Stegostoma tigrinum: one gene and its partners. The main gene of each other region encodes a partner of the protein of the gene in region 2 in a complex. Links are inferred from orthologs where the notes say so. Each region holds a gene or a part of one and is shown on either strand. Other genes may lie near its edges.

The links.
Region 1: the proteins of orc2 (region 2) and orc5 are in contact, whole or in part, in a cryo-EM structure (PDB 7JPO), measured with the Homo sapiens proteins. The link is inferred for Stegostoma tigrinum from reciprocal best matches to the Homo sapiens genes ORC2 and ORC5. Residues at the interface, in NP_006181.1 of Homo sapiens: Val240, Glu241, Tyr243, Phe244, Glu245, Ser248, Asp396, Gln398, Arg401, Gly402, Glu403, His426, Asn428, Ala429, Pro430, Leu431, Met432, Trp433, Asp434, His435, Gln438, Trp445; in NP_002544.1 of Homo sapiens: Asp324, Lys325, Phe328, Leu329, Leu359, Asp360, Arg361, Ala364, Tyr367, Ser368, Ala378, Asn379, Phe381, Ser382, Gln383, Thr385, Ser386, Thr389, Asp400, Gln401, Leu402, Asp403, Tyr407.
Region 3: the proteins of orc2 (region 2) and orc4 are in contact, whole or in part, in a cryo-EM structure (PDB 7JPP), measured with the Homo sapiens proteins. The link is inferred for Stegostoma tigrinum from reciprocal best matches to the Homo sapiens genes ORC2 and ORC4. Residues at the interface, in NP_006181.1 of Homo sapiens: Asp501, Asp504, Tyr508, Ser512, Gln518, Glu522, Val554; in NP_001177808.1 of Homo sapiens: Lys168, Asn169, Arg195, Glu200, Leu201, Lys204, Arg205.
Region 4: the proteins of orc2 (region 2) and lrwd1 are in contact, whole or in part, in a crystal structure (PDB 8SIU), measured with the Rattus norvegicus proteins. The link is inferred for Stegostoma tigrinum from reciprocal best matches to the Homo sapiens genes ORC2 and LRWD1. Residues at the interface, in NP_001012003.1 of Rattus norvegicus: Val11, Pro12, Ser13, Val14, Gln15, Phe16, Val17, Gly18, Asp19, Val22, Leu23, Ser24, His25, Ile26, Leu27, Asp28; in XP_038945348.1 of Rattus norvegicus: Pro262, Leu263, His264, Phe265, Leu266, Gln267, Cys268, Ser270, Asn273, Ser274, Pro275, Leu320, Val321, Leu322, His323, Lys324, Tyr325, Lys326, Leu367, Val369, Gly372, Phe373, Cys374, Pro596, Pro598, Val599, Ala600, Val605, Ile630.

What each region holds. Positions count from the first base shown.
Region 1 is NC_081378.1:23,172,466-23,179,310, reverse strand, and holds the start of orc5 (origin recognition complex subunit 5), read right to left. Parts: upstream 3,011-6,845; 5' UTR 2,907-3,010; exon of another isoform or gene 2,726-2,906; intron 887-2,725; 5' UTR 878-886; coding exon 767-877; intron 1-766. UniProt on the Homo sapiens protein: Component of the origin recognition complex (ORC) that binds origins of replication. DNA-binding is ATP-dependent. The specific DNA sequences that define origins of replication have not been identified yet.
Region 2 is NC_081360.1:19,756,138-19,764,026, forward strand, and holds the start of orc2 (origin recognition complex subunit 2), read left to right. Parts: upstream 1-4,877; 5' UTR 4,878-4,918; coding exon 4,919-4,988; intron 4,989-6,634; coding exon of another isoform or gene 6,635-6,662; coding exon 6,663-6,809; intron 6,810-7,167; coding exon 7,168-7,269; intron 7,270-7,857; coding exon 7,858-7,889. UniProt on the Homo sapiens protein: Component of the origin recognition complex (ORC) that binds origins of replication. DNA-binding is ATP-dependent. The specific DNA sequences that define origins of replication have not been identified yet.
Region 3 is NC_081360.1:83,672,373-83,679,238, forward strand, and holds the start of orc4 (origin recognition complex subunit 4), read right to left. Parts: upstream 3,012-6,866; 5' UTR 2,920-3,011; intron 2,267-2,919; 5' UTR 2,121-2,266; intron 1-2,120. UniProt on the Homo sapiens protein: Component of the origin recognition complex (ORC) that binds origins of replication. DNA-binding is ATP-dependent. The specific DNA sequences that define origins of replication have not been identified yet.
Region 4 is NC_081380.1:9,118,193-9,126,189, forward strand, and holds the start of lrwd1 (leucine-rich repeat and WD repeat-containing protein 1), read right to left. Parts: upstream 3,002-7,997; 5' UTR 2,912-3,001; intron 1-2,911. UniProt on the Homo sapiens protein: Required for G1/S transition. Recruits and stabilizes the origin recognition complex (ORC) onto chromatin during G1 to establish pre-replication complex (preRC) and to heterochromatic sites in post-replicated cells.

The DNA of each region.
Region 1 (6,845 bases), on a different chromosome or scaffold from region 2:
TCTGAAAGATAGGCTGTGATTATTAGTATTGCATAGTAAATTAATGAACTGTATTTATTCAAAGCACCCTGGAAACTTCAGATTTTTTCTACCAATTATCTCCCATCCAATAAGACTAATGTACAACATAATCTATCATGATAACTTTGACACAGAATAACAAGTATAAAGCCTAATTTAAACTAAAGAAAAACTTGGCAGAATGAGTTAACAAGCATTGGTAAAATTGCTGTATTATCGACTGCAGCACCAACCAACTCTGCACTGACAGCAGATGCAAAGAACAATGAGATTTCAGAATTGAAGGCCAATGTCAAATGATGCACGAGATGCAAGAACAAGTGTGAAAAAAATTACACCATCTATCACAGGAATCCAATAACAATGATGCTAACAATAATGAAGACGATGATGAAGGTCCACATGCTGTTATCCAATCAGGATGTTCGGACAAATCATTTGGTAATTCAGATGGAGGTTCGTGATTTTGAAGGAATTCAATATTAAGTGTTGTAGTTGCTTTATCATTTCATTAATATTGAACAAAATTGAATGTTTACATTAATACAATATAAAATAAATATTACTGAATCAATTTACATTCTTTACTGTTATCCATTTTATTCCTTACAATGGTCGTTCCTGGGCACAAATTAAGCATGCATGTAAATCCCTCAAAGGCATGAACAGCAAAGGTCCACCTCAGAATTTTGGCCTAACAATATGGCATCAAAATTCAGCCAATTCATTTAAAATACAAAATTACCTCTCCCAGTATTGATTGCAGAGTTAAAATCTGAGGATCCCGACAAATCAATTTCTCTTTCAGTAAGAGGATTCTGTCTTCTGGATATTCACCATGATTAAGTTTAGACATCTTTACAAACTGTAGGAACAAAGTTCTCCCTTAGATTATAAAATATAAATTAAACATATTGAAAGATTATTCTCACTATTTCGTATAGGTATCAACTTACGCAATTATTGATGCTTTGAAGAATGTGATACTTTGTTTACCTACACTATTCATTTTCAAAATAATTTCTATGGTGTAATGTTGATAGAAACAGATCTATCACATTTGGAACAAATAGGACACCTAAACCTTCATAATAAAAGGCTTCCATTTTTGAATAATAGCAAATCAGGTTGCAAACAAAATAACGGACTGCAAATTTCAGTCATAAAGACACAGTACAGTAATGGCTACCTCAAGGACAAGAGGACAGGCATAACACGGATCCCGTTCTTGGGCTATCCTGTCAGGAGATTAGTGTCTGCATCCTGCAAATGTATACAAGATGCCTAAAAAGGCTCTTGTGGTGCAGCGCTACCTCTGAGCCAGGAGGCCTAGCGTCAAGTCCCATCTGCTCCAGAGATGTGTAATGACAACTCCAAACAGATTGATAAGGAAGTATAAATAAAAACATATGCGGTATTCAATGAATCAAGTCTTATGTGGCATTATTTAATTTGTAGACTTTTTTCGATCTGCAGCCTCATTCTTCCTCACTTTCGTAACTACAATGAGCAATTATATAATACTTTTAAGCATCAGAAAATATGCTAAAGCATACCCTCATAGAATCAGATTCAGCAAAACAAAAACATCATGAGGTGCACTTGAAAGATGAGGTGGAAGATTTAGTACGCATCTCAAAAAGTTCAAAGTTAGAAGTTAGATGCAGTTAGAAGTAGAAATCTCTACAGCTGAGGACTGAAGGCAATTCACCAACGGTTGGGCAAAGAGAGAAGACGGTGCACAGAAGTCAGAGTCAGAAGAGCATGGAAGTAAAGCAATGACATTAAGGAATTTCGAAACAAGAATGAGAATTTCAAATTAATAATACAACAAACCTGAAACCGAAGCAATCGTAGGCAATTCTGATTTGTGATTTAATCGGTCATGTTTCTGCATCCAAATGCTCAAACATTTACTTAAATATTTGTAGTCAGCAGTAATTTCCAAAATTTCCATTAAGACTTAAGTTGCAACATAGTTCACATTACATCATAAGTAAAAATGAGCTGCATGCATCAGAAAATTATTTACTGTCTCTCAAACAAAGAAAAAAAATTGCAGATGGCAGAAATTTGAAATAACAGGAAATGCTGGAAATACAACAGGCCTGACAAAACATGTGCTGAGCAAAACCAAGTAAACATCTCAGATGTTTCCGATCAGAGTAGGACAAAAGAAAAAGTGCATCAAGTTTTCAGCAAGTGAAAAGTGTCAAGGGCTGGAATGAGTAGTTATGGTGGGAAATATAATCAGAGGGAAAGTTTGTAAGAGGGTGGAGCATAGCAGAAATACACAAAATTTTTTTAAAAAGCAAAAAAAATGTAAAAACCAGGCAATTAAGATAGAAGAAACAAATTGGGATTCCTCCAGAGTGAAATACAAAAGTGAGCATTCTCGGCAGAACACCAATTCCCCTTGCTGTTTTGAATTGTCAGCACGAAAGCTATAGGAGTGTTTATTTTTAAAATTTGCCTGTATAAAGATAAAAACGTTTGCAACTAAAACATATGGGGAGGGAAGTTGTTCAATCTAAAAACATTTTGTGTAAAAACTCAAAACTCTCGTGTGAATCCACCTTTCTGATTCCATTTAAGACGCCAAAACGTTTTGGGGAATGCATCATAGGCTTTAAACAATTTAACAGTTAACGGATCGTTTAAGAAAAAAGCCAACCACCTACAGCGGCCGCTAACTTGGTCTTACTTGTTATTTTCCTCACTTGGACCAAATCTTCTTAATGTGAATTGTTATTATTTTTTAAAAGAAAAACACGTCACAGATTAAAATCAGCTTCATACTCCAACGGGTTTGAAATCACCTGGCAATCTTTTGTTCGATCCGCGGAAAGCACGGGGTCATTTCCCCACACTAGCCCGGCACTCACCAACCGTAACCATTAGTCAAAATTACCACGCGACCCCAATACCGTCTCCTTCCCGGGTTAATCGGACTCTCACGCGCCAAAACCTCCTTCCATGAACTTTCACCCCACCACCCGCGATCCTACTGCGCAGGTGTCAGAACACGCAGCACACTGGGACTTGTAGTTTGTGGGCGGAGGAACCCAAATTCATTTAAGAAACGAAAACAAAATACTGGAAGTTCTCAGCAGATCGAGTAACATCTGTGGAGAAGGGAATCAGAGCCAGCGTTTCGTTTCAGTTATCTTTAATTCAGAATTGTGCAAAAAGGTTAGTAATGTAATAGAAAGAGTTCAGAAGAAACTCAGTAGGTCTGGCCGGATGAGTGGAGAAAAAAAGTTACAATTTCAGACCTGCTGAGTTTCTCTGGCATTTTACGTTTTTCGTTTCAGATTTCCAGCATCTGCAGTTCTTTGTTTTATTCCAGAAATCTAATAGGTTTTGAGGAAGAACGTGGGCGCAGAAAAAGGAATGAAAAGGCAGGACTCATAGACTGCAAAATAGCACAGCCTTATTTGTAGTATAGTTAGTCTTGGAAGTTTTGCTTGAAGAAACAAGGCAATCTTCAGCAATGTCAAAGTTGATTGGTTTTAAATATATCTGAGTAGTGTTCGCGTTTTTTTTTGTTCATGATGTTTACCATGGTTACTGAGTGATAAGTTAGTCTTCAATGTCATTCTCCCTTTGATTGAATTTTTGTCTCTTTCATAAGCAGTGCCTTAGAATTGTGGATGATTTGCTTTCACTTTGTGTTCAATGGGTCCTGAGGTAGCTGACAAGTCCATTTTTCAGACTCGGTGACAAATGGGGTAGGTGTGCTTCGAAGGGTAGAGAGATGAGCTGTTGGGAGATTTGTGCACTCACATCTCTGGCTCCTCGACTACCTTTATTCATTCCCCTTAATGGGTTTGGTATTTTCCCAATTGAGCCATCTCTATTTTGGTCAGTCAAGCCAAGGATTTCTATGAGTCTGCTTGGACACTTTGCCTCTTCGGAATCATTCAAGGTTTGCCCTAAAGTATTTTCATTGTCCTCCTGCAGGGGGTGGTGGGGTTGGTTGCTCCTGCTACCACTAATTACCAAGTAGAGCAGTAGCTTTAAGTGAATATTGTTTGGCTTATGAACAAAATGTTCTGTCCCTGCACTCAGTCAGAATTTTGGGTGATTAACACCTTGATATTGGATACAGGCCCCAAGATGACATTCCACATTAAGCAGAGGTTCACCTGCACATCTGCCAATGTGGTATACTGCATCCACTGTACCCGGTGCGGCTTCCTCTACATTGGGGAAACCAAGCGGAGGCTTGGGGACCGCTTTGCAGAACACCTCCGCTCAGTTCGCAACAAACAACTGCACCTCCCAGTCGCAAACCATTTCCACTCCCCCTCCCATTCTCTAGATTACATGTCCATCATGGGCCTCCTGCAGTGCCACAATGATGCCACCCGAAGGTTGCAGGAACAGCAACTCATATTCCGCCTGGGAACCCTGCAGCCATATGGTATCAATGTGGACTTCACCAGTTTCAAAATCTCCCCTTCCCCTACTGCATCCCTAAACCAGCCCAGTTCGTCCCCTACCCCCACTGCACCACACAACCAGCCCAGCTCTTCCCCCCCCCACCCACTGCATCCCATAACCAGTCCAACCTGTCTCTGCCTCCCTATCCGGTTCTTCCTCTCACCCATCCCTTCCTCCCACCCCAAGCTGCACCCCCAGCTACCTACTAACCTCATCCCACCTCCTTGACCTGTCCGTCTTCCCTGGACCGACCTATCCCCTCCCTACCTCCCCACCTACACTCTCTCCACCTATCTTCTTTACTCTCCATCTTCGGTCCGCCTCCCCCTCTCTCCCTATTTATTCCAGTTCCCTCTCCCCATCCCCCTCTCTGATGAAGGGTCTAGGCCCGAAACGTCAGCTTTTGTGCTCCTGAGATGCTGCTTGGCCTGCTGTGTTCATCCAGCCTCACAGTTTATTATCTTGGAATTCTCCAGCATCTGCAGTTCCCATTATCTCTGATATTGGATATAATGATTTCAGACAGGACATTGCTATTGAATTGTCACTGGATTTGGAGGACCTTGCGAAAGCTCCACTGATGGTACTTGAACGATGTTCTCAGTTGCTTCCTACATGTTTTATATGCTCCAAAGCATGAAAGTGTGGTATTCACTGGTGCTCAGCAAACCATGATCTTAGTTTCATATTTGAGATCTCTGCTTCTCAGATACTTTTTTCAATACACCATAGGCTGAGCTGGGACATTGTAGGTGATAATAGATGTCATAATCTGTCTGCCTTCATCAAGAGGAGGCACCCAAGTTATATAAAATGGTTCATATTTTACAGGATTGTGGCATTGATCTTAATCGAAAGGGAGAGGTGTTGAACTTTGAGAGCTAGTAGCAAAGGGTCCTTCGTTTAAAATGTTAGAGCTACAGCTCCAGTCAGTTGCATCATTTCTGTTTGTTAGATTTTGGCTCAGCCGTATCCATTTCTTTTCTCAGCAACATCAATTAGCATCAACAAACTTAATTCAACTTTATATTATCCTGAATTGAATCAGCTGTGGGTGTGTTTCAGTGTAATAGTAAAGATTAAAGAGTTTCTTGTTCTTGAGATATGTTGTTGATATCAGAAATAAACTGTGTTTTAATTACTGTAAATTGTTCTGTGGGCTGAGGGACTTACATCTGGCTATCAGCACCCACTATTATGAGTAAAACATTGTGTTAAATTGCACACTTACTATTGTTGTCAATTTCGAGTTAATCAGTAATTAGCAACCATACAATACAAAAATTATAGACTTGTACTTTCTTTAGAGCTTTCATGACCTCAAGATATTCCAAAGCGCATTAAAGCCAATTAAATATCTTTCAACATGGACCTGGATCTTTGAAATGAAAGAGAATCTCTTCATCATTGTGAAAGTGGCAAAGGAGCCCAAAACTCAGACAATTAACCCCACCCACTGCAGCCCAAAAACAACATTCTCTATTCTGAGGTAGCATCAGCTTTCCTGCTTCTCTGATGCTGCTTGGCCTGTTGTGTTCATCCAGCTCTGCACGTTGTTATCTCAGATTCTCTATTCTCTGCAGTGACTCAGGTTTGTGAAAAGCCACTTGCCTCTCTGATGAAGGGTCTAGGCCCGAAACGTCAGCTTTTATGGCTCTCTGATGAAGGGTCTAGGCCTGAAACGTCAGCTTTTGTGCGTCTAAGATGCTGCTTGGCCTGCTGTGTTCATCCAGCTATACACTTTGTTATCTTGGATTCTCCTGGTTTAGAGGTCTAAAGTTTGTGGATTTGTTTTTATATTGAGAATATCTTTTTGGAAAGGTAGGGTATCCCTTTAGGTATAGTGCAAGGAGACCTTTTGGTAGAGTCAAATTGCCCTTTGGGAGAGGTAAAGTGTGTGTGTTCGACTTGTTAAAAGTAGACATGAATGTACACAAAAGGTGCGCAGCTCATTCACATTGAGTCTATTATAATTGTCAACACAGCTATCAAAAGGAAATGGCAAATGCGTTTGTCAAAAAAAAAGAGGAACTGTGAAATGGAGCTTTTGTGATTTTAAAGGTGTTTAAAACACCTAGACTTCCGTTAATTGAAAACGTATCGGCACGTTTTTAAAAAATTCCTTGCTGTTTCACTCTGCCTATTGGCATAAACCTGAGGGTTACCAATATCAGGTTGGTGCTGCTTAACTGATTTTACAACCTTCTTGTCATGACCACACTTCAGACATACACTCAGAGTGGTCTGTGATCTAAGAATTCGTACAATCTTTTCTGTAGAGCTGTTTCAGTTTTTGACTGCTTTTAATTTAGTTAATCTGTAGCACAACTTTGTGTTTTTAACAAAGTAAAATGTTAATTTATAAAACATTTATTGTT
Region 2 (7,889 bases):
CCTGGCAGATGCTCAGAGACAGGTCTCTGAACTGACGGTTCAGAGAAGTGAAAGTGCCATCTGGCGGGAAGTCAGGTATTGGTGGTTGAGTCGATGCATGTAAATCTGTCGTTCTTTGAACAAAAAGTTTTTTTTAAATTAAAAATGAACTATACTGTTAATGTAAGAGATGTGAATGTGATCTCGATCTTGTAAATACCTGTCACAGATTAAAGATTTTAAATGTGTAAATACAGGTGTATAAACATTCAGATCAGTCTGCAATGCAGAGAAATTATTAATCTGTAATCTCAGTACCTGGAATAAATACTGTGCTGTTTCTGGACATTTAGTTGTGTCTGTGTTTATTTCAGTTGGAACAGTGTTGATTAGATAATGAGTAATTAGAGTAAGAGGAATCTTCTATAATTTTAAATCAATCTCATCATCTTTAGTGTCTCTCACCTAATGTTTTCCATTTACCTGTTGGCTGTTTTATTTCATAGGAATAGGAGTCCATTCAGCCATTTGGCTCGACCCACCATTCAATATGATCATGGCTGATCGAACATTTCAATGCCTTTCACCCACCTAATCCCCATAACTCTGCACTCCATTGATAATCAGAAATCTATCAATCTCCACCTTAAACGTACTCAAAGACTGAGCTTTCGCAGCCCTCTGTGGTAGAGAATTCCAACATTCACCATTCCAGTGAGTTTAAAAAAAAAAAATCCTCCTCTTGGTTAATGAAGACTATATTACCTTGGCTACATATGGAGCAAAGAGATTGTTAAACTTGTGTAAGCACTGGTTTGGCCTCACCTAGGTTACTGCATCCAGTTCTGGACACCACACATTTGGAGGTATGGGATGGTATCAGAGAGAGTACAGAAAAGATTTGTGCGAATGGTCCAAAGGATCATGAACTTAAGTTCAATAGAGGGGAGAGGTTGACCCTGTTTTCCTTGAAGAAGGGAAGGCCGAGGAATGATTTGATGAAAGTTTCATCTAAAAGAAAAACATGAATCCAGACAACCATAAATATGGAAAACTATTCCCACTTGGGAAAGGATTAAGATTGATGTCCTGTACACTCAAGCAGGATAAGTCCAATCCCACCCAATCAATCTTCTTGCGATCATCAGTAAAGTGATGGAAGGTGTCATTTTACAGTGCTACCAAGCAGCACCTACTCAGCAATAACACTTTGGGTGATGCCCGGTTTGGGTTTTGCCAGGGCCATTTAGCTCCTGAAATTGTTACAGTCTTGGTTCAAACATGGACAAAAGAGCTGAGTTTCAGAGGGGACGTTGAGTGACAGCCCATGACACCAAGGCTGCAACTGATCAAGTGTGACGTCAAGAACCTCTAGCAAGACAAGTCAATGGGAATCTAGGGGAAAATTCCACTTGTTGGAGCCATAGCTAGAAGAAGGATTATTGTCTTTGTTCGAAGTCAGTCATCTCAGCTCCAGGATACCTTTGCAGGAGTTCCTCAGGGTAGTGTCCTATAGCCAGCCATCTTCAGGTGCTTTATCAATGTTCTCCCCTTCATCAGAAGGTCAGAAATGAGATGTTCACTGATAATTGCACAATATTCAGCACCATTCATGACAGATACTGAAGCAGTCCATTTTCAAATGCAACAAGACCTGTACATTATCCCAGGCTTGTTCTGATATGTGGCAAGTAATGTTTACTCCATACAGATTCTAGGCAATGATCATCTCCAATAAGAGACAATCCAAGCATAGCCCCTTGACATTCAGTTGCATTACCATCACAAACTCGAACTATCAACATTCGCGGAGTTACCATTGATCAGAAACTGAACTGGACTAGCCATGTATATACAGTAGTTAAAGGGAGCAGTTCAGATGTTGGGCATCTTGCTGAGAGTAACTCATCCCGAGACACGTTAAAGCCTGTCCACCATCTGCATGACGCAAGTCAGGAGAGTGATGAAAGATCTCCCCACTTGCCTGGATGAATGCAGCTCCAACCACACTCTAGTTGGACAAAGCAGCATGCTTGCTTGGTACCACATTCACAAGCATCCAGTCCTTCTACCATCAATGTTCAGTAGCAGCAGTGTGTACTATATACCAAGATGCACTGCAGAAATTCACCAGCGATCCTTAGATAGCACCTCCCAAGCTAGCAACCACTACCACCTAGAAGGACAAAGGCAGTAGCTACATGGGGACATCAGCACCTGTAAGTTCCCTTCAAGCTACTCACTCCATCCTGACTTCAAGTTTTATCGGAAGTCCTTTTATGTTGCTGGGTCTACTTCCTGGAATTCTCTGTCTAACAGCATATTGGATCTAATTACAGCACATGGATTGCAGTGCTTCGAGAAGTCAGCTCACCAGCACCTTTGAGGGCAGCTTGGGCTGGGCAATAAATGCTGGCTCAGCTATTGACACCCACATCCCATATGTGAACAAAAAAAAAATTGAGGGGGCACAAATTTCTGAAGTAATTGGCAAAAGTAACAATGGCAATATGAGGGGGGAAAAATACATTTTACAGCGAGCTGTTAGGATCTGGAATGTGCTGTCTGCAGAATATGGTGGAGGCAGGTTCTAAAATTAGATCACTACCTGAAAAGGAATAATGCACAGGGTTACAAGTAAAATGCAGAGGATTGGCATTAGATGATCAGAGAACCAGTATGGACACGATGAACTGAATAGACTTCTCTAGCCATTCTGCTTTCTATGAATGGAGTGTCCTACTGACACAGCTCCACTAGTCATCAAGTTCACTCAGATCTATCTGCATGGGTGAAAACAGAGTGGTTGCAAGTGAGCCATGGCACTAGTGTCCTATGTGCCCAATGCATACCATCCATGTTGGCACACAGGGGTTACCCCTCCCTTTCCGTGAGGGCACCTCGTCCCTCAGGGCACGATCACTCCCTATGTCACAGGCCACCTGAGACACAGCAGGAGTGAGAACAGTGTTCTGGCCTATATATACACCTGACTTCAATTTCATTGGCAACTGCCAACATATTACTCCGTCCTTGATGAAAAGCACAGGTCTAAGTGTGCTGAGAGAGTGAAATTTTCTGCTTACTCAATGCCAACGTGAGGGGGCAAAGTTACTATGGAACTGCTGCTTCCTGCCAAATTCAAATATACCCCCACAAACTAAGATGTGGGAAGAGTCACATACTCAGCAGTATGTTGCTTGTATGACTATGTCAAAACAACTCTGCCACAGGCAGTGAGACTGAAGAGTTGGTTAACGTACTTTTTTATAACACAGAAGAAAGTAATTACATTCCTCCAGCAAAAACCTGGATCAGCATTTGTCCTGTGTGAGGCATTCAGTTCGAGGATTGCAACATTTTGAATTGTTGGAAAAATGCTTCAATGCTTCCTGGTCACAAAAAAAATGTATGAGTACAATCTGGCCAATCACACTGGTCTCAATCATCAGCAATGTGCTGAAAGTGTTAACAACAGTACCGCATGTAGCATTTGATCAGTTTGGTGTCTGTCAGAACCACTCAGCTCCTGACATCACAATAAGCATAGTCCAAACATGAGCAAAAGGACTTATGGAATGCCTACAGTGCAGAAAGACACCAGTTGACCCATCAAATCTGTACCAACCATCCTAACAGCATCCCACACAGACGCAGCAACCCCTCCCCTCTCACACCCCCAATCCCTGTAACTGCATTTCCTTTGGCTAACCAGCTAACCTGTATATCCCTGGGCATTACAGGGCAACTTTTGACTTAGCTAATCCACCTAACCTGCACATCTTTGGACCGTGGGAGGAAACCAGCAGAAACCCACATAAACACAGGGACAATGTGCAAACTCCACACAGACAGTCACCTAGGCTGGAAATGAATCAAAGCCCTGGCACTGTGGGGCAACAATGCTAATCACTGTGCCTCCCTCCAGAGATGACAGTATCCGCCTTTGATAATCAAGGAAACATTTTGCTTTATATGGTTTGAAACAGCACAAGAAATCAGGAGGAAAGCTCTCCACTGTCTGGAGTCATACCTGGCACAAAGGAAGATGACTGTAGTTGTTGGAAGTCAAGCATCTCAGCTTCAGGACATCACTATATAGTTCCTCAGGATAGTTTTGTAGGCCCAAACATCTCCATCTGCCTCAGCAATGACCTCACATCCATTATCATGTCAGAAATGGGAATGTTTGTTTGCTAATGATTGCACTATGTCCAGCATCATTGGCAACTTCTCAGACACTGAAGCAGTCACATGTTCATTTGCAACAAGACCTGGACAATATTCAGGCTCGGGCTGATAAGTATTAAGTAACATTTGCTCCACAGAAGTGACAATTAATTATCAGAGTATCAAACTACTTCTCCCTGACTTTCAGTGACACTGGCATCACCATCTTGGGAATCTGCATTGCTGAGTTCACTGGGAAAGTTATATCAACATAGTAGTAACAAGGGCAATAAAAAAAATCAGGTGTCTGTGGAAAGTTGGTCCTGACTCCTCAAATTCTCTCCATCATTCTGCAAAATTCATTCTGTAAAACTGTAGTCCAAACATGCATTTAATCTCCCCAGACTAGAGAACCCATTTTCCTGCCTCCTATCATTTTACTGCACAGACCAGCCCTTATCAAACCCTCTATGATTTCACATTTATCAAGTGGGCCGGAAACATTAACTGTTTTCACAGAAGCTGCCTGGTCTGCTGCATATTGCCAGCATTTTCTTCTGATCGGTCTCACTCCGCTCCCTGGCCCCACCCTTCCAGCAACCCCGCCCACTTTTAACAACGCCCCCACAGCGGTAAACCACGCCCCTTTCCGGGTCGGCCCTCCGTGATTGGTTGTTTGGATCCGGGCTGTGATTGGACGATGCGTTACCGGATGCGGATTGGTTGCTGTTGACCTTTGGCCCGCGGTTAGTGGCTTGGCGGTTGAACGATGAAGGTCGGGGATGTGCGTTTCATTGGCGATGAGGAGGTGGCGGAGCACATCATCGAGAAACTGTCCGGTGAGCCCCGGGAGAGATACGGGGAAGCAGGCGTTAGAGAAGGAGGGAAGACTGGGGGATCTTTCCAAAAATTTGTACCCTCCCCCCCCATCATTTTCCCCTCCCCCCCGCCTTCCCCCTAAGTCCTTCCCCAGAATCTCATCCCACACCCCCTGCCTTCCCCCCCCAAATCCTACCCCAGAATCTCATCCCACACCCCCTGCCTTCCCCCCCCAAATCCTTCCCCAGAATCTCATCCCACACCCCCTGCCTTCCCCCCCCAAATCCTTCCCCAGAATCTCATCCCACACCCCCTGCCTTCCCCCCCAAATCCTTCCCCAGAATCTCACCCACACCCCCTGCCTTCCCCCCCCAAATCCTACCCCAGAATCTCATCCCACACCCCCTGCCTTCCCCCCCCAAATCCTACCCCAGAATCTCATCCCACACCCCCTGCCTTCCCCCCCCCCAAATCCTACCCCAGAATCTCATCCCACACCCCCAAATCCTACCCCAGAATCTCATCCCACACCCCCTGCCTTCCCCCCCAAATCCTACCCCAGAATCTCATCCCACACCCCCTGCCTTCCCCCCCCAAATCCTACCCCAGAATCTCATCCCACACCCCCTGCCTTCCCCCCCCCAAATCCTACCCCAGAATCTCATCCCACACCCCCAAATCCTACCCCAGAATCTCATCCCACACCCCCTGCCTTCCCCCCCAAATCCTACCCCAGAATCTCATCCCACACCCCCTGCCTTCCCCCCCAAATCCTACCCCAGAATCTCATCCCACACCCCCTGCCTTCCCCCCCAAATCCTACCCCAGAATCTCATCCCACACCCCCTGCCTTCCCCCCCAAATCCTACCCCAGAATCTCATCCCACATCCCCTGCCTTCCCCCCCAAATCCTACCCCAGAATCTCATCCCACACCCCCTGCCTTCCCCCCCAAATCCTACCCCAGAATCTCATCCCACACCCCCTGCCTTCCCCCCCAAATCCTACCCCAGAATCTCATCCCACACCCCCTGCCTTCCCCCCCAAATCCTACCCCAGAATCTCATCCCACACCCCCTGCCTTCCCCCCCAAATCCTACCGCAGAATCTCAACCCACACCCCTGCTTTCCCTCCAAATCTTACCCCAGAATCTCAACCCACACCCCTGCCTTTTCTCCAAATCCTACCCCAAAATGTCAACCCACACCCCTGCAAAGATTCCTCCCCCAACTCCCCTCTGTATTAAATCCTTTCCCACTCTCCAATACCTTGTTAAGGTATGCCTAAGCCTGGATCTCTCTCAAGTGATACCATGTTCTATACACATTTATATCTTCTGCATCAAAAAAAAAGATGCTGGAAAAGCTCAGCAGGTCTGGCAGCATCTGTGGAGGAGAAACCAAAGTTAACGTTTCGGGTCCAGTGACCCGAGTTCTGAGGAAGGGTTACCCGACCCGAAGCATTCACTCTGTTTTCTCCTCCACCAGTGCTGCCAGACCTGCTGAGCTTTTCCAGCAACCTCTGTTTTTGTTCCTGATTTACAGCACCTGCAGTTCCTTCGGTTTTTATACTCTTCTGCATATTGTTCTTCCCTGATCCTTTCAACCACCTGAGGACTGACTGAAACATTTTGTTGGAAAATGATTTCTGGCATCCTACTGTTTTAATGGGTTTCACGATGACTTACTTTACAGGAATTAATCAGAAGAACAATGTGCCTGGGACATTGCTAAGCGTGAAGCGGGCTTCCCAGAAATGGGAGAAGACAGAGCAGTCTCAGGAGAGTTTGGAAGTCTTTAATGAGCGTGATTACGTGGAGGTGCTTGGAGCAGGTGACTCAGGTACTGGCTATACTGCAGGCCGTACTCTATCTTGCTAAGAGAGTGTAGCCAATGGTGTCTCTGTGATTACTCAAGGTATGCCTAACCCTGGATCTCTCTCAGGTGATACTACATTCTCCTATACACATTTATATCTTCTGCATCAAAAAAAAAGATGCTGATACTCAAGGTTGTGAAACAAGACCAGGTCCAGAACCTATTACTGGAGTGTCAGGCCCCAGGTATTCACTTGTGGAGTAAGGAAGCTCCACAATTTGATATAAACGTCGGGAGCCTCGAGCTGAAATTGCACAGTTGTGCTGCTGCTGCGGTTGTGAAGATGGTGCAATTGCTTTAGCAACTCGAACTGTCCTTGTAGTTGCAGGTTGCCATGGTGACTTGAATGATGGGGTGTCTGCAGCTGGCCGAGATCTTTTCACCTTTCAAACCGCCAAAAGAGCAGACAAGATGGCAAAGCTCGGTGAGTTTTGGGGACCGCGTCTTGTTAGGGATGGGTAACTGTGCAGCGTTTGGAGACGAAGTGAGAAATGTGGTTCGTAGGTAGCGACGTGGGCCTCAGAAACAGGAGGCGGCGATGCACTTATGTAGCTGTAGAGACCCGATGCAGGTGCAGTGACTGCGGTTCATGATTTTGGGTGGGTGTGGGGTGCTGTTCATAGGTACAGGGAGAGCTGTGAAGTGAGAATCACCAGAGCAGCAGCTGACTAACTGAACTGTGAATCTATTGCCAAAAGATCAACAGTGTCATTTTGTTGACCTCAAACTGTCTATGTGTCAAAGGGACATTCCCATCTTTTGACGTTGAGAGTTATCGGAGAACATTTTCAAATCAGCATGGGCTTTGATACAGAGCTAAGCTCACTCTACACAGCCTCATCAAGCACACAATTCTGGGGTTGTGCGTGCGTGTGTCCTGGGAGAGGATGGCTGGGCTGAGGGCGTTGTTGGGGGCTGCTGGGGACAGGAACGACTACTCTCCCTGGAGGTTGCATGGCAGATGAGACCATTGATATTTAAAATGTTTACTTTATCCTGTTTTGACTCTCAGCCTCCGAACTGGCCCAGACTCCGAGAAAAAGT
Region 3 (6,866 bases), about 64 Mb from region 2:
TACAATTCTCCCATTGTCACCATTGGTCTATGGCAGATGCCTTACACTCAACCCCAGAACATCTGAATAACAAGGACACCTATGTCCGACTCCCATTTACTGGCTTGAGCTCTACCTTCAACACTAATTCTAGCCAACCTCAGCTCCAAACCAGAGACCTAGCACTCGGCTTTCCCCTTCTGTAACGGGATCCTGATCCACAGTCTGCAAACTGTAAGGACAGGCGACAACACCTCCTCCACAACAATCCTCAACACTAGTGCCCCACAAGGCTGCATACTCACCTCCTTACTATACTCCTTAAACACTCGCTACTGTGGCCAAATTTTGCTCTAACTCCACTTAGATGTTTGCTCATAACACCACTGTAATGGGTTGGATCTCCAACAATGATGAGGCAAAATACTTGAAGACGACAGAGAGCTTAGTGGCATGGTATAAAAGGCAACAATCTCTTTCAAATGTCAGCAACATGAAGAAGTTGGACATCAACTTCAGGAAGTCGAGTGCAGGACATGCCCCTGTCAATATCAATTGTGCTGAGAGGAGAATGGTCGAAAGCTTCAAGTTCCTAGGAATAAATGTCACCATTTATCTATCCTGGTCTATCCACATTAATGCTACAGTCAAGAAAGCACACCAACTTTTCTGTATCCTCCAAACTCGGAGGAAATTTGGAATGTCCACATGAATTACCAATTTTTATAGGTGCAGCATAGAAATTATCCTATCTGTTTGCATCACGGTTTGATATGGCAACTGCTCTGCCCAAGACTGCAAGAAATTAAATGAGTTGTGAATATAACAGTCCATCACACAAATTAGCCTTCCTTTCACTGTCTCCATCTGTACTTCTCCCTGCCCTGGGAAAGCAAACAATATAATCAAAATTCTGTCCTACCCTAGTTAGACTCTCTTCCACCCTCTTTCATTGGGCAGAATATTCATAAGTTTGAAAACACATAGCAACGGATTCAAGAACTGCTTCTACACTACTTATCAGAGTTTTGAATGAATCTCTCATACATTGAAGTGGTTCCTTCTCTGTTGCTATTACCCTGATGTCAGATATGATTTGTCTCAACAGTAGTTTTCACTATTTCAGCACATGCGACAATAATAAATTATGCCATAATAACCCTCACGTTAAAATTCACAAAGAGCAGAATATATTCAAATTAAGAAAAAAAAAAAATCACAAGGCAATTTCACACAAAATATTGTTCACAGACAACCATGAAACGAACTTTGCGGCAACTGTAACAAAAACTAAAAGCAACACTGACTAAATAATAGAGGAACCCAAGATTGAATTGCAGAATTTTCTTCCATCTTGAATTCCTCAGATAATAAAACTCCAAGGTCACAGTTTTAATCATCATCTAATTTCTGCAAAATTAATTTTGACAGCAACTAGTTCAACATAATACTGAGCTTCCATCCAGTCCTCTTCTCTCTATTTCACCAATGTGTAACATCAAGTAACCATCAGATGATGCTTCTCTCAGTTTATAAAGAAATCCAGAACAGAAAACCAGCAGCATGACCCTGTCCAGCAATTCTTTCGCTGACTGCACCAGGCTGAATCCTCTAGATTCCCTACATTGCTACAGGATGTGCACCATTGATCAGAGGCTGCTTTCCTTCCGGCATTCTGCTTGGTCGTCAATAGAAAGACACATTCTTCTCTTAATTACATTCGGCGGCAACCGTTCAAGTGTGCATGAAACACTTCTTTCTGAAATCTGAGACAGAATGTCTGCCCAGAATCAACCCCAGCAGATCTTTGTATCAGGCAAAAAAATTTTCTACGTTGCTCTTGTCTAACCTCGATTTGGACGACTCCCATTTCGGTTACTGAACTGAACAGATTACAATATCTCCACTAAACAATTTTACCTTGAACTAGGAAACGATTTCAAAATAAAATCGCTTTATACCGTATCATTCACGACGTAATTTGTTTTACGTAAAGTTAACTCGAGGATCGGATTTATATTCGACCATCAAATTACGAAAGAACACACATTTTAAAATTGCATATAAAGTGGTTCACGACATTTGATTTAAAGGCAGGCAAATCCTTCTAGTCATTTCAGCAATTACAATGATACATTTACCGTTGAAATTCGACAAGCAGAACCGTCCGTGTCACTAACTACCCTCAGTAATGAGTCTTCAGAATTCAGCGAAAAAAACCCAGCGATACCTTCCTCCAAAAGTGCCCAATGAGGTAAGCTCGCTGACGAAAATCCGCCGATGAAACCTGCAACATGAAAGAAGGCATTTGGTCCGCTAACAAGCATCAAGAGTCGATAGTGACAAATCATGCGATCAGAAAACGAAACCATGAACACGTTACACCAAATACAAATACAAACTCTACGTCGTGGAACAAATACAGCGTTTATTGTGACACAGGCACAATCAACAGAAAATGATGGAGGCATCAGAAAGCTCCCATAAAGAAAGGGGAGGATTATATTGTCCAGATTTCAAGTGCGGCTCCTTCATCAGCCTCTCCACCACTACTTTACCGTCTCCCCTAAAAAAAAATTTAAAAACCCAAGACCAGAACACGAACAACAAAAATTGAAAATTTCTAGCCGTTCGATGAGGGGACGTCGGAACACAGAACAAATGCGTAAACCCTTGTGATAGAACAAACTGCTGCCTCCCAAGCTTTTAAAAAACCCTGAATAAGATCAAATACGTTTTAAAAGAAAAAAATTCTAAATAAATAAAAGTGCGAAGAACACATAACAGGCGACAGGTGATGGAAAAGCTAGAAAACAACAGGTGAGTCAAAAATAAGGACCAAGAGTTCTGAACCTAGCGTGATATATAAAACATAAATAACTTTGTACACAAAATAATAAAAGCACCATATTTAAAGTGCATCAGCCAGACCACAAATACCTGAGCGAGGCCCAGTGGCTCCAACGATTACTCAGGTAACCACGACTCCTTTTATATAGTCCCACCCACCGCCCTCCGCTCTCTGACCTTTGATGACCTCCCACCTACACGTCACACGACAGGGTCCGCCCTATCTCCCCTTCCCCGGAGCATTCTGGGTAATTGTGTCTTGGGACATGCGCAGTGCGCCGGGTATTTTCAGCTGCAGGTTTTTTTTCCTCTCGTTCTCTCTTGCCCCGCTCCCTCTGTTTCTCTCTCCGTGGCTTTATCTCTCTCCCACCTTCTGTGTTTCCGAGTAAAGCCTCCATAAAGTCTCCAGAAATAAAGCGGCCGATTCTCCTTTTTGTTATTATGAGTCTACATTCCCAACCGGATACATCCCGAGCGTCTGAAAAACTTCCTGGATACCTCCCTTAACAACCAGCCGACCTCCCGGGCCTGGCCAGCAGCCTTTTAAGTGCCATTTCAGCCCTTTATTACCCTTTGTTTTTGAGTTTTTCTGAAGCGAAAGCTTTGGAGAGGAGAGAGTTAAAGGTAAGTGGTTGCAAAGCAAATCTGGCCTTTTTTATTTAAAAATCCGTATTTTATTAAAATGAAGTGCAGATTTTGGAGTATTATATAAATATATCGCTGTGTTGAGAATGAAATCTTATTGAAGTTGGGAGTTTAGGGTATAATTTTTTGATATGTATATTGCAGGAGAGGGACGTTGCTGGCTCTTGAAAATGGGGTTTAATCTGGTTTAAAGCCTTCTATTTATCCGCCCCCTCTTTGCTGCTGATGATGATGATGCTACGTTGCAGGCCACGGCCATGCGTGACTGCTGTTTACAACAGTCCAACTTCAGCTCTTGTGGGTATCAACCCCGCAGTAATAAGAAGGGTTGTTCCATCCTGATGCAATAATGTGTTCGTATTTGGAACCTCTGGAGAGTGTTTGGAGTAGGGTCATCAATATGGTACACGAGTTCTCATCGACTGGTAGTTAAGATACCGTCATGTTTGTGATTTTTCATATTTTGCATATTTATAGGCCCAATAGGATGTGGAGTACAATATGTAGCGTTTTAGCCCTAAAGAAACGTTTAGAGTTGAAGGATTTCAGTAGTTTGGTCGTCTTGCACGCCACTGTTATATTTTTATGACAAAAATACGTGAAATTAGTGTTTTAACAGTGCACTGATAGCTAGAGTTAAAGGATGCAGTAACTCATTGTGTGGATAAATATTTTAATTTTTCAATGTAATTGTTGAAATGATCCCTCAATGTGAATCTGCTTTTCCTTGAAAAAGTGCTGCCTTTTTTAAAACAAAGAAACTTTTAAATCATTTTTAGATGCATGTGAGAGATGTATTTCGAATTTGTATGTTGTGTATAGCAGCAAATAATAGTTTAATAGTTTAAAGTTTCATGTTAATGTTCTGCAGTTTTGCTTGTTTTGAAATGAGAAATTCACAATACTTTTTTTGCAAGTTGCTGAAATATGTTTTGTGTTTGTGAGTACTATTAATATCTTCTGTAGGTCTAAATTAAAATTTAAAATTATTAAACTTTTCCACATTTCTTTAAGTTTTCCATCTCTTATTCTCCTGGTTTTTGCTCTACATGAGTGCCAGTAGGCTGATTTTTCTACTCCTGGAAGGAAATAATAGATGTAATGGATGTGTTTGACAGGTACGATCTCTTTGGGGTTTAGATGGCTCCAACCAGATATAGTGAGGGAAATTTGAAATCAGATGGACCTTGTGTTTTAAATTTGGTAATCTGTTACTTAAACTAATCGGGTCTGCATTATTTCAACACGCTGTTAATTTGACCAGCCAACTTATGGCTTTCAAAAGATTGGACTTATTATTGTGCTCTGACGTTTCTGCCCATTCGACTGCAAATAACTGTGAAATAGCTCGATATGTAAGTTGGTCCTTGCTCAGATGAGCATTTGTGATGAGTTGCAACTTTTTAGCCTTTGCATGTACTTAAGAGTCCCTAGGCCTTCGTTTTGTCCTTCTGTACCGATCTTCATTGGTGTTGAGTAAATGGGAAGTATGTCTGAAGTGAGCATTGGGCACACAGAAACCTTAGAGTTTTGTCTGTATTTTTCAACAGCTTGATTTGAAGACTGTTCCTGCCATTCCTTAGTTAGGAGACTTGATGATTGAAAACTAAAATCATTAATTTATTTTTGTTCTTTAAAATTTGCCAACTCTACAGATCTGAAAAATAGATATAGGTGGTTTTAGCTGAGAGTACTTCTGAGTACTTTAATTTGGTTTCTTATTCTGCTTTTCATTTTATTTTAGCTCAAATGAGTGGTAAACATTCTTGATATAACAATATATTGTCAAGTTTAATATTCCAAAATGACTTATTTTTACATCATTTTTACTTCTACGTATGTCAAGTGGTTCAGTTAGTTTTGATCAGTGTTAGTCATGGTAAATAAATTTAACAGAATTATTGATACATGTAGCAATGTTTATTATTTTTCCAAGTTTATTAAGCATATGTTGCGTTTTCACTTTTCATAATCAGGAAATTTTAAATGGAAGGTTGGAAATTTGTGAAGCTTTTAAAACTTGCATAAAACTTAAATAACATGCCTTGGAAAAGTAGTATAAGCATCTGCATATATATTCTTCAAAGTATGTTATTCCTGTTTTAACTCTTCTGAATGACCTGATGTTCATTTAACACATGTTCTCCTATATGTGTTATGATTAATATATGCTATCTTCTGTCAAAATGAAGACACTTAATAATTGATGGTACAATCTTTAATGGAATGCACGCTAAGAAATGATTCTCTTCAGCTGGGGCATTTAAAATATGGGATGACAGCTATAGAACAAGGGGTTGGGCACTTTGGATTAAGGTGAGCAGCAGTTTCTTCACTCAGCCTTTAGGAATTGCAGAGAGAGAGAGAGAGAGAGAAAGAGAGAGATGCAGATCCTCTGTCATTCGGTATGTTTAAGACAAGTGTCGATGGATTCCTGGGTTACAAAGGAAATTCAAGATTGAGTGGATAGTGTGGGATGGCAGAGTTGAACGAGATCTTGATGGATGACAGGCCAAGTTTGAAGCGCGACATTACCCATTCCTATTTCATATGTTCTTATGTGTACACCAACCTATATTAGATCATGTTGTTTATTTACTAATGTAACTTTGCCTTACTCAAGTCAGCTAATGTTCATTGCTCAGTTTGGTTTTGTTGTAATTATATTGCCACAGCAATATATCTAGAGACTTCGATCAACATTTCTCAACACTCCGATTTTATGCTCGGCACAGTCTTTATTTTGGGGAAAGACAGAAAGGACATACAGACTTAAGAGAAGTAGTTGAGGTTTCAGATTGACCTTTTGTCAGAACTGAAAAAGTTAAATGCGTAAAAAAAATTTAAGGAAGCTCAGTGGGAGAGAAAATGGGAAGTGAAGACAAAAAGGATGATGGTGCAAGGGCAAGAGTAAAAAATAAAACATGTTCTAAAGGTGGTGAAAATGGGGATAGCAGAATCATCAACAATTTTTGTTTTTGTCCTAAAAAATGAAAGCAATGTGAAATTGAAGAAGGTCTGTGGAGTCTGGTAGCTATGAAGTACCTAATCAAAAGATAAGGGGTTGTACGTTGAGCATTGAGAGGTCATCGTGGGGATCAAGTGGAGAAATGAAAACAGCCGTAAACATTGGCACTCATATATGGGCAGAACAGTGGTGTTCCACAAGGAAGTCACCCAATCTATAATTATTCCAACATAGAAGGAGCCACATTATTTCCAGCAGACACTAAATTGAAAAGTTTCAAAAGAAATTGTGTAGATGAAGCATCTGGATACTTGGAAGAAGGCAATGGCAGAGATAAAATGGCATAATTATGCTTGCTTGATGGGGAGGTTCTGTAATGAGGAAAAAAATTGTTCCGTCTCTGTTGTCCCCTTTTGGTTTCCAT
Region 4 (7,997 bases), on a different chromosome or scaffold from region 2:
AAAATACCTTTATATGCATACATAGTCACTGAAGCAGTTTGGTTCTGTATAGTAGCGTATGAAGAAACAAACACTGGAGTTTGACTCTATCCAACAAACAAACCACAGGCATTTTGTACTTGTACAGGATGATATTTATATGTATGTGAGGCATTGGGAGGATCCGATAACTGAATGGACCTCAATTTAACCTCTGCAGAAAGATTTTAGACGATGGCCTTTCTTGACTGTGTCTTGGCAGCAGCTGCCCCAGGCTTTATTGTGTCCTTCAGCGCGTAGTCCTGGACCTTAAAATGTGCCAGTCAGCAACACTCAGTCAAAGGCAACTCCTTGCTCTGGAAGACCAACAAGTTTTGGGCAGGCCAAAGAGTGTCTTTCACCGAGTTTATGATCCTACAGGCACAGCTGTCAATGTTTGTCTTGGTGTGCAACCTATAGCACAAAATCCTGCATCATGGAGCTGCTCAGGATGAACCTCGACAAAAATCACTGCATCTTTTTTGGGCATACGTGAAGGATTTCACAAGTAGTGCCCTTCTCACCACCAGCCAAGTGATGTCTTGGTGCTTGTTAGAAAGTTCTGGCGTTGAGGCATTCTGCCTAGTGACTTTGACAGTCTGGTCAAGAACAACCTGACAGGATCTACCCTATCATTTCCCTGCAGGATCTCTAGGACACTACGTGCTGACCAAGTCCTGAAGGACTTGTGGTCTCTGTTAAGGACAGGTGGTATGGAATGGCCCAACTATGTGGGGTGTTCTGTGGCAACAAGGCAAGACCCATCCTTTGCAACACTGGGGATGGGTAGCGCCTGTCTGATTGGGATATATAGTGCATGTGAAGAGGGTACTGAACTGGATTGTTTTCCAAATAAATTGTTACCTTTTGTTATAAACTATCCCAGTAATGGTTTATTGAATAAAAGTGTGAATATGCTGCCTGATGCCTTGGCAGGATGTACCAGCCTGTTTTTTTGTACTACACAATGTTCCCGTATCAATCCACAGTTTGTGCCAGTTCACCTAATAATAGCAAGACAGCAATCAAAATTAACCCCATTTTCTCTGTGCTAAAGAGAGTTAATCAGTCCTTTGACCCTTGCTAGGAAGCCCATTTATATGGATATCCAGAGAGAACAGGATCAGACTGTACTGTGGTTTTCTGTTGTTGTTTCTTGCAAACATCTCTCTAGGCTCCTACAAGACTGGCCTCTTCTAGAAACCGAAACTCAATCCAGCACCCACAGTCTTTTTTTTTTATTTAGCTCAGATTTGTGGTTTGATCACCAATGTGTGCACAAATTAGGAGTAGTTTAAATGATTCTCAGAAGTAGTTCTTTTCCTGTCCTCATTCACATGTAAATATATAATTAAGTTAAGTTTGACTACTAAAAGTGGTAACAGTTGCTGGTTTTCACACCGCCATTTTATTTCACAGCAAGTTGCTGGTTCAGCCCTTTTGTAGAATTCTGGTGCCATTTCTATACAGCTTGGATTCTCTACATTGTAGTTTAGGGTTTCTGAATTCATTGTTACAGCTTGGCCTTATAATACACTCAGATTTCTATTATTCTGATCTCAAATTTGAACAAGACATGAGACACAATTTAAAGTCAACCTCCAAATTAATCGTGCTATTATGATTCTCAAAACCTTGCACTATTTAACATGAGGGACATACTTAGACTTTCATTCACTATCATCTCTTTAACTCTTGACATGCATCGTTATTTAACTTAAGTAATTAAATTGAATAATTAACTGAAATATCAGAATTTGCAATATCAAAAAGTCACAACACAAAGCATCCACACTTGTCTCGAGAACGTAACACTGTCTTAGCATCAACATGATAACTGCAAGCTATTCAACAATGTCATAAATCTGTAGATTATTTATTATATGCTTCAGTTGTGCAGGGCAAAATCAGTATGATCTATCTAAATGGTAATGAAAATGATACAGCATTACAAAAGTGCTAAAAGCTTTTCATTTTCAGAGTTGCAATTCATCTAAGTAACAGTGACTGTGAGACTATTACTGATTTGTTATGAAAACCCTTGTGGTACACTACTGTCTTTTAGGGAAGGAAATCTGCCACCTTCAGCTGGGTTGACCTACATCTGATTCCAAAACTACAACAATGTGGATAACTCTTAGCTACCCACCTAACACGATTTAGTGAGCCACTTGGTTATCACCACTAATGTCTCAATGATAATTAGGGACGGACAGCAAATGTTGGTCTTCCCAGTGACACACACATCCCCTGAAAGAAAATAAAAAGAATTCTACTTAAATGTTAATGTATGTGTCTCATAATCAATGATTGTCACTACTAAACTCCATTCACTGTGTGTTTTGGAGTCAGCAGTAGACGATGTGAAGATATTGCTTAGCTTGTGTGGTAGACTTATAACTCGAGACAAGTGGAGTTAAGGGAAAAGAGGCAGTATGAAAGCAAGCTTATCACAAAACACCCATCATGAGATGTGAGTTAAAACTACTTATTCAGATTGTCAAAAATGTGGGAAGCGGTCTTCCACAAAGTGTGTTGCTAGTATCTCTCACAGGTTCACAAACATGAACACAATTAGTGGTACCAAATTGAATGTGACACTAAATTGTTGGATATAGTTAATACTGGAGGATGGTGACAATACAAGAAGACATTAATAAATAAAACTTGCAGAATAGGTATGTAATTGGCGCACAAACTACAATGTAGGTGGGGGTGTGTTAGAATGTTTTTGTAGTGAAAACTAAGGAGGCAACATACTCCCTGGGAAGATACAGTTTAAATGGTGCAGTTAAACCTCGATCGAGGGATGCAAACTTGAAAATCGCTCAAAGTAGTGCAACAGATTAATGAGGCCATTAAAATGCAAATTAAGTTAAATATTTACTCTTACCTGCCTTTGCTGTTCAGAATTTTTAATAAGGCTGGTTCAGGCATGATCTTCCCTTTGGAATCCATAGAGACTGTGTTTATGACTTTCAGATTCTTGGTATTTTTCCAGATTATCTTTGAGTAGAGTATAATCTCTCTTATACTGTTGACATGCGGTTAATTGGCCACTCATTCTTGAAATGTTACACCTACTACTTGACTGCTATACACAGAAGATCATATTACAGTCCTTTTATCTTATTTATGATCCTGTTCAATATTTACCTTGAAACTTTTTTATTATATTTTTGTTACTTCCTAGACACTCCCCTATACTTAGCACTTAACCATTATAATTAATATTTCCCATCGTTAAATTCATCAGTGCTTCCTTCCTTGTTTGGCTTTTTATATCATAGTAAAATTTCTGTTATATGACATATCACAAAGTAGAATGCTCCATCAACTAGCACATTTGATTTCATCAATCCATTGTTCGTCCCCTGACCACCACCACCACCCCCCCTGCCCCATAGTATGCTGACTGTGTTTTGATGGATAGATTTGACAGTTCATGCATTAGAGTCATAAAGACATACAGCATGGAAACAGACCCTTTGGTATAACCAGTCCATGCTAACCATTGCCGTAATTTCAAACTAAACTTGTCCCACCTGTTTGTTTGTTCGTGGTCCATATCCTTCCAAACATTTCTTATCCATGAACTTATCTAAATGGCTTTTAAACATTCTGACTAACTGTACCTGCATCTACCTCTTATGCACACAAACCACTCTATACCCACCAAAATGCCTTCTAAATGTAGTACCAGCCTCCACTACTTCCTCTGGCAGCTTATTCCTTACACGCACCACCCTCTGCATGGAAAACGTTGCCCCTTAGGTCCCTTTTAAATTTTTCCCCACTCCCCTTAAACCTATGCCCTCTAGTTTTAGACTCTCATGCCCCAGGAAAAAGACTTTGTCTATTCACTCTATACATGCCCCTCATGATTTTATAAATCTCTATATTGTCACCCCTGTGTCTTCAATGCCTCAGGGAAAATGGCCCCAGCCTATTTAGCCTCTCCCTATAGCTCAAACCCTGCAACTCTGGCAACATCCTTGTAAATTTTTCCTGAACTTTTTCACAACATCCTCCCTATAGTAGGGAGACCAGAATTGCATACAGTATTCTAAAAGTGGCCTAACCAATGCCCTGTACAGCAGCAGCGTGATCTCCGAACTCCTGTACTCCATGCTGTGCCCAATAAAGGCAAGCATACCAAACCCCACCTTCACCACTGAGTTTACCTGTGACTCCACTTTCGAGGAACTGTGAACCTGCACTGCAATGTCTCTTTGTTCAGCAACACTCCCCAGAACCTTGCCAATAAGTGTATAAGTCCGCCCTGATTTGCCTTTGCGAATGCAGCGCCTCTCATTTATCTAAGTTAAACTGCATCTGCCACTTTTAGGTCCATTGGCCCATCTGATCAAGATCCTGTTGTACTGTGAGGTGATGTTCTTCTCTGTCCACTACACCTCTACTTTTGTCTTTTAAATCTTTCTCCTGTCACCTTAAAAAATTGTCCCCTAGTCTTGAAATCCTAATCTTGCAAGTTGATTCTGATCATAATGCTTCTTTGTAAATCCCATGTGCTGGCATTTTCACCCACATCAGTGTCCACATTAAATGCTGAATGTGCATTTTTAAACTTAGAAATAGGGCTTGACGTTCTTCCTGTAGCTCTATGTTATTATGACTGACAGTATTTGCCTAAGATATTTGTGACCATTAAACCACAATCCTGTTTTGAGGATTGGCAGTTATTTTAAAAAAATGCAACAAGCATCAAAGTAAATGTATAAAATGCCAGCACTGTCAACCAGAATGTAAAAGAACTGGTTGCATTTGGTCCCTCAAATACTAACTGCTGAGTTAGCTAGCATTTTAGATTTGCTGGCACCAGCTGATCCCAGTGTGTGAAAGAAAATATGGATCTTGCAGTCTCTGTAAGAAACTGCACACATTCTTAAGAACTCCAATATGTGTACATATGCAACAAAAGACTTCCAGACTTTACAAAAATGTTTTATTGTAGATCTGTAGTGTAGAACAAACTCCTGTTTCCCCCTTTTCCTTCTGAAGCAAACATCCAACTGGGAAAGAACTTGGCTTTTGAAAGTTTAATACCTATCAACCTATTTTTTTAAATACTCTCCATAATAACAAGGGAGGGGATTAAATAAAAATAATATCAGAGGAAGAAATAATGCACTGAAAGCCTTGCAGTGTACGTTTCTCTCTCAATGCTTCGAGAATTCAGCTTTCATTTTTGAAATATCCAATGTCCAATCAACTAAGTAACTAACAAATAACAAACACTGTCAAACTGTTGCACCAACAAAACGAAAAGATGGGGAATTGAGGGTAGGAACTAAATTGAAATATTGTTGGTGGAAGAGATAATGAATTCCAGCCTAAGCAGTAGCTGTCTTTTTCTAAAAGCCTAAAGAACTTCATTCTTAGATATTCTTTAATCAATCTGTTTAGACATGTTATGACACATCTATATCAGAGGTATGGTTACTACCACTTCACCACGAAAGCCTTTTAGAACTCAGCTTTTTTTTTCATACCTCCCACCAACTCACCTGTTTCAGAACTCTACTGTCTTTTATAATCAACCTGCTCAGGGTTGTGACATGCTTCTGGAGTGGTTGGGAATTGAATCTGGGCCTTCCAGCTCAAAGGGAAGGACACTATCCCTATCACCAAAAGAGCCCTAAAGATCTCGGCTGATTTTTTTTTTGAAATCCACCTTCAAATCAACCTGACTACTTTAAATATTTTCTTATCAACTTGTTTGGAAATGAGAAGGTTCCCCTTTTTTCCTAAAAAAAAACCCCCTACCAAATCACCCAAGCTATCAACTAAACAGCACTTGAACAACACTGCCTACAGGGGTAATGTAACAACAACAAAAATAGGGGAGGGGACTAACGTGCAGTTAGAAGGGGATATAATGCATTCCAGCTGCTCCCCCCCACTTCAAAAACCCCAGAACCTAGTGTCTGCCGCTCTGAAGGCATTAAGTGTGTTGCGCCCTCTCACTGAGGACATCCAGACCCAAAGTTCACCACTGGGGCAGGCAGGCAGAATTAAAACCAACTAACCTGGATCTGTTGATAACCACCTTGGCCGCGCCCTGTAGGAAGTCCCCTGCTGTGCCCACACTCCTGGAGACTGGGTGCCCAAAGATCAAGAGCGTGGGACTGATGTGCAATCAAAAGAGCAGCAAAAGATTTCTAAGGTAATTCAACTGGGTGCAGTTGCCCACACCCAACTTATACATGGCCCACAGAATCCAAAGCAGTGAATGAACAACAGATTTGGGGGTCCGTAGGTTTATGGTTTATGATTGCTTTGGTGTGCTGTATGCAAACACTCACTATGCTAGGCCCCATTGAGAAGTTGGCCTTTTTTTTAGTAATAATTGATTAGCTCAGACCCCTGCTGCTTTGCTTCAGCCTGTCCAGAGATGGTGTTGTGTACCACTGGAACTGGTGAAAATTGAACCTAAGACTTCCTGGGTCAGAACTGGGCTTTTTCTTTTTTGTCAAACCATTCTGTGCAGATATGTTACTGAATATGTCTGCAGCAGGTGGGATGTAAACCCAGGCCTCCTAGATCAAAGGTAGGGACACTACCATTGCACAACATGCACTCTTAGAACCGAGCACTTTTTGATAACTCTCCACCAATAACTAGTTGAAACAACTAAACAATAACAGTTAACAAGATCCTCCCACAATAAGAAGTGCAGCAACTACGAAAATAGGGAATGTAGGAAGAGAAGGAGCAGAAAATAATTCAGTCCAGCCTCTGCAGTGCTGACCTGTCTCAAATCATGAAGATGTTGGTGTAGAACCAGTATTTTTTATATCTTCTAATCAATCTCTTCAGAGTTGTTATACTCACCTCTAGAGCAAATGGGGTTTGAACCTGGATGTCCTGGCCCAGAGGTAGGACACTACACTATGCTGCAAGAACCCTTCATTGAGTCAGACTTATGCAATATTGACACAGACCCTTCGGTCCAACTTGTTAACGCTGACCAAATGTCCTAAACTGATCTAATCCTGTTTGCCAGCATTTGGCCTATATCTCCTTAAACCCTTCTTATTCATATACCCATCCAAATGCCTTTTAAATGTTGTAATTGTACCCACCTTCACCACTTCCTGTGGCAGCTCATTCCATACACGCACCACCCTCTGTATGAAGCTTTTTTGTTTAAACCACCACCAAACCAGCTGTGTCACTAATTAAACAATTAATAATTTAGAAGCAATGCCACAAAGTTTAGTACAGCAAAAATAGGAGAACTAACTTATTGCTTTTGTATAGCCCACAACCAAATCATACGTAGCAAGAATGCAGCTGTTTTTCAGAGCAGCCTGTTGAGATGTTATCACACATCTCTAGAGCAGCTGTGAGTTGAACCCAGGCTTCCTGGCTCAAACACCACTGCTGTATCACATGAGCCTACGAACTCAGCCTTTTTCGTTTTGAAAAGATATTTTAATCATCCTGTTCAGAGATGTATTGCATATTTCTGGAGTAGGTAGAACTTGAATCTGAGACTCCTGGTCCAAAATCCAAAGTGGATCACCTGTTGTCGTCAGTCCCTTGCCTGTTTAAGCCTGTAAGGGAATCTGCATTTCTAACTGACATTTTATGCCATTTTATTGAAGGGTGGTTAAATTTCCCGTGATTGATTATTCATCCCTGTCTCAGACTTCATCAGTTAAGCAATGAACTGATAAATAAGAAGTTGCTTACAGAAAGACACATCTGAAAATATACATTCTGTTTCAGAGCTTTCTCTTCTAGATCTATTTTCTGTTTGTTACGTAACAATCTGTTGTGCTCCCCCTCAATGCCATCTGCATATTAACTTCTCCTGATCCAAGGTTAGGTCTTTTGGGTTTGTCAGTATATGTGTGACTCGTAACCTTTTTGAGGTTCATGCATCTACCCATTCTGAATGAGGTCGCCATTTCCCACTTGGATACTATTGTACTCTTGTTAATTTAAAGTCA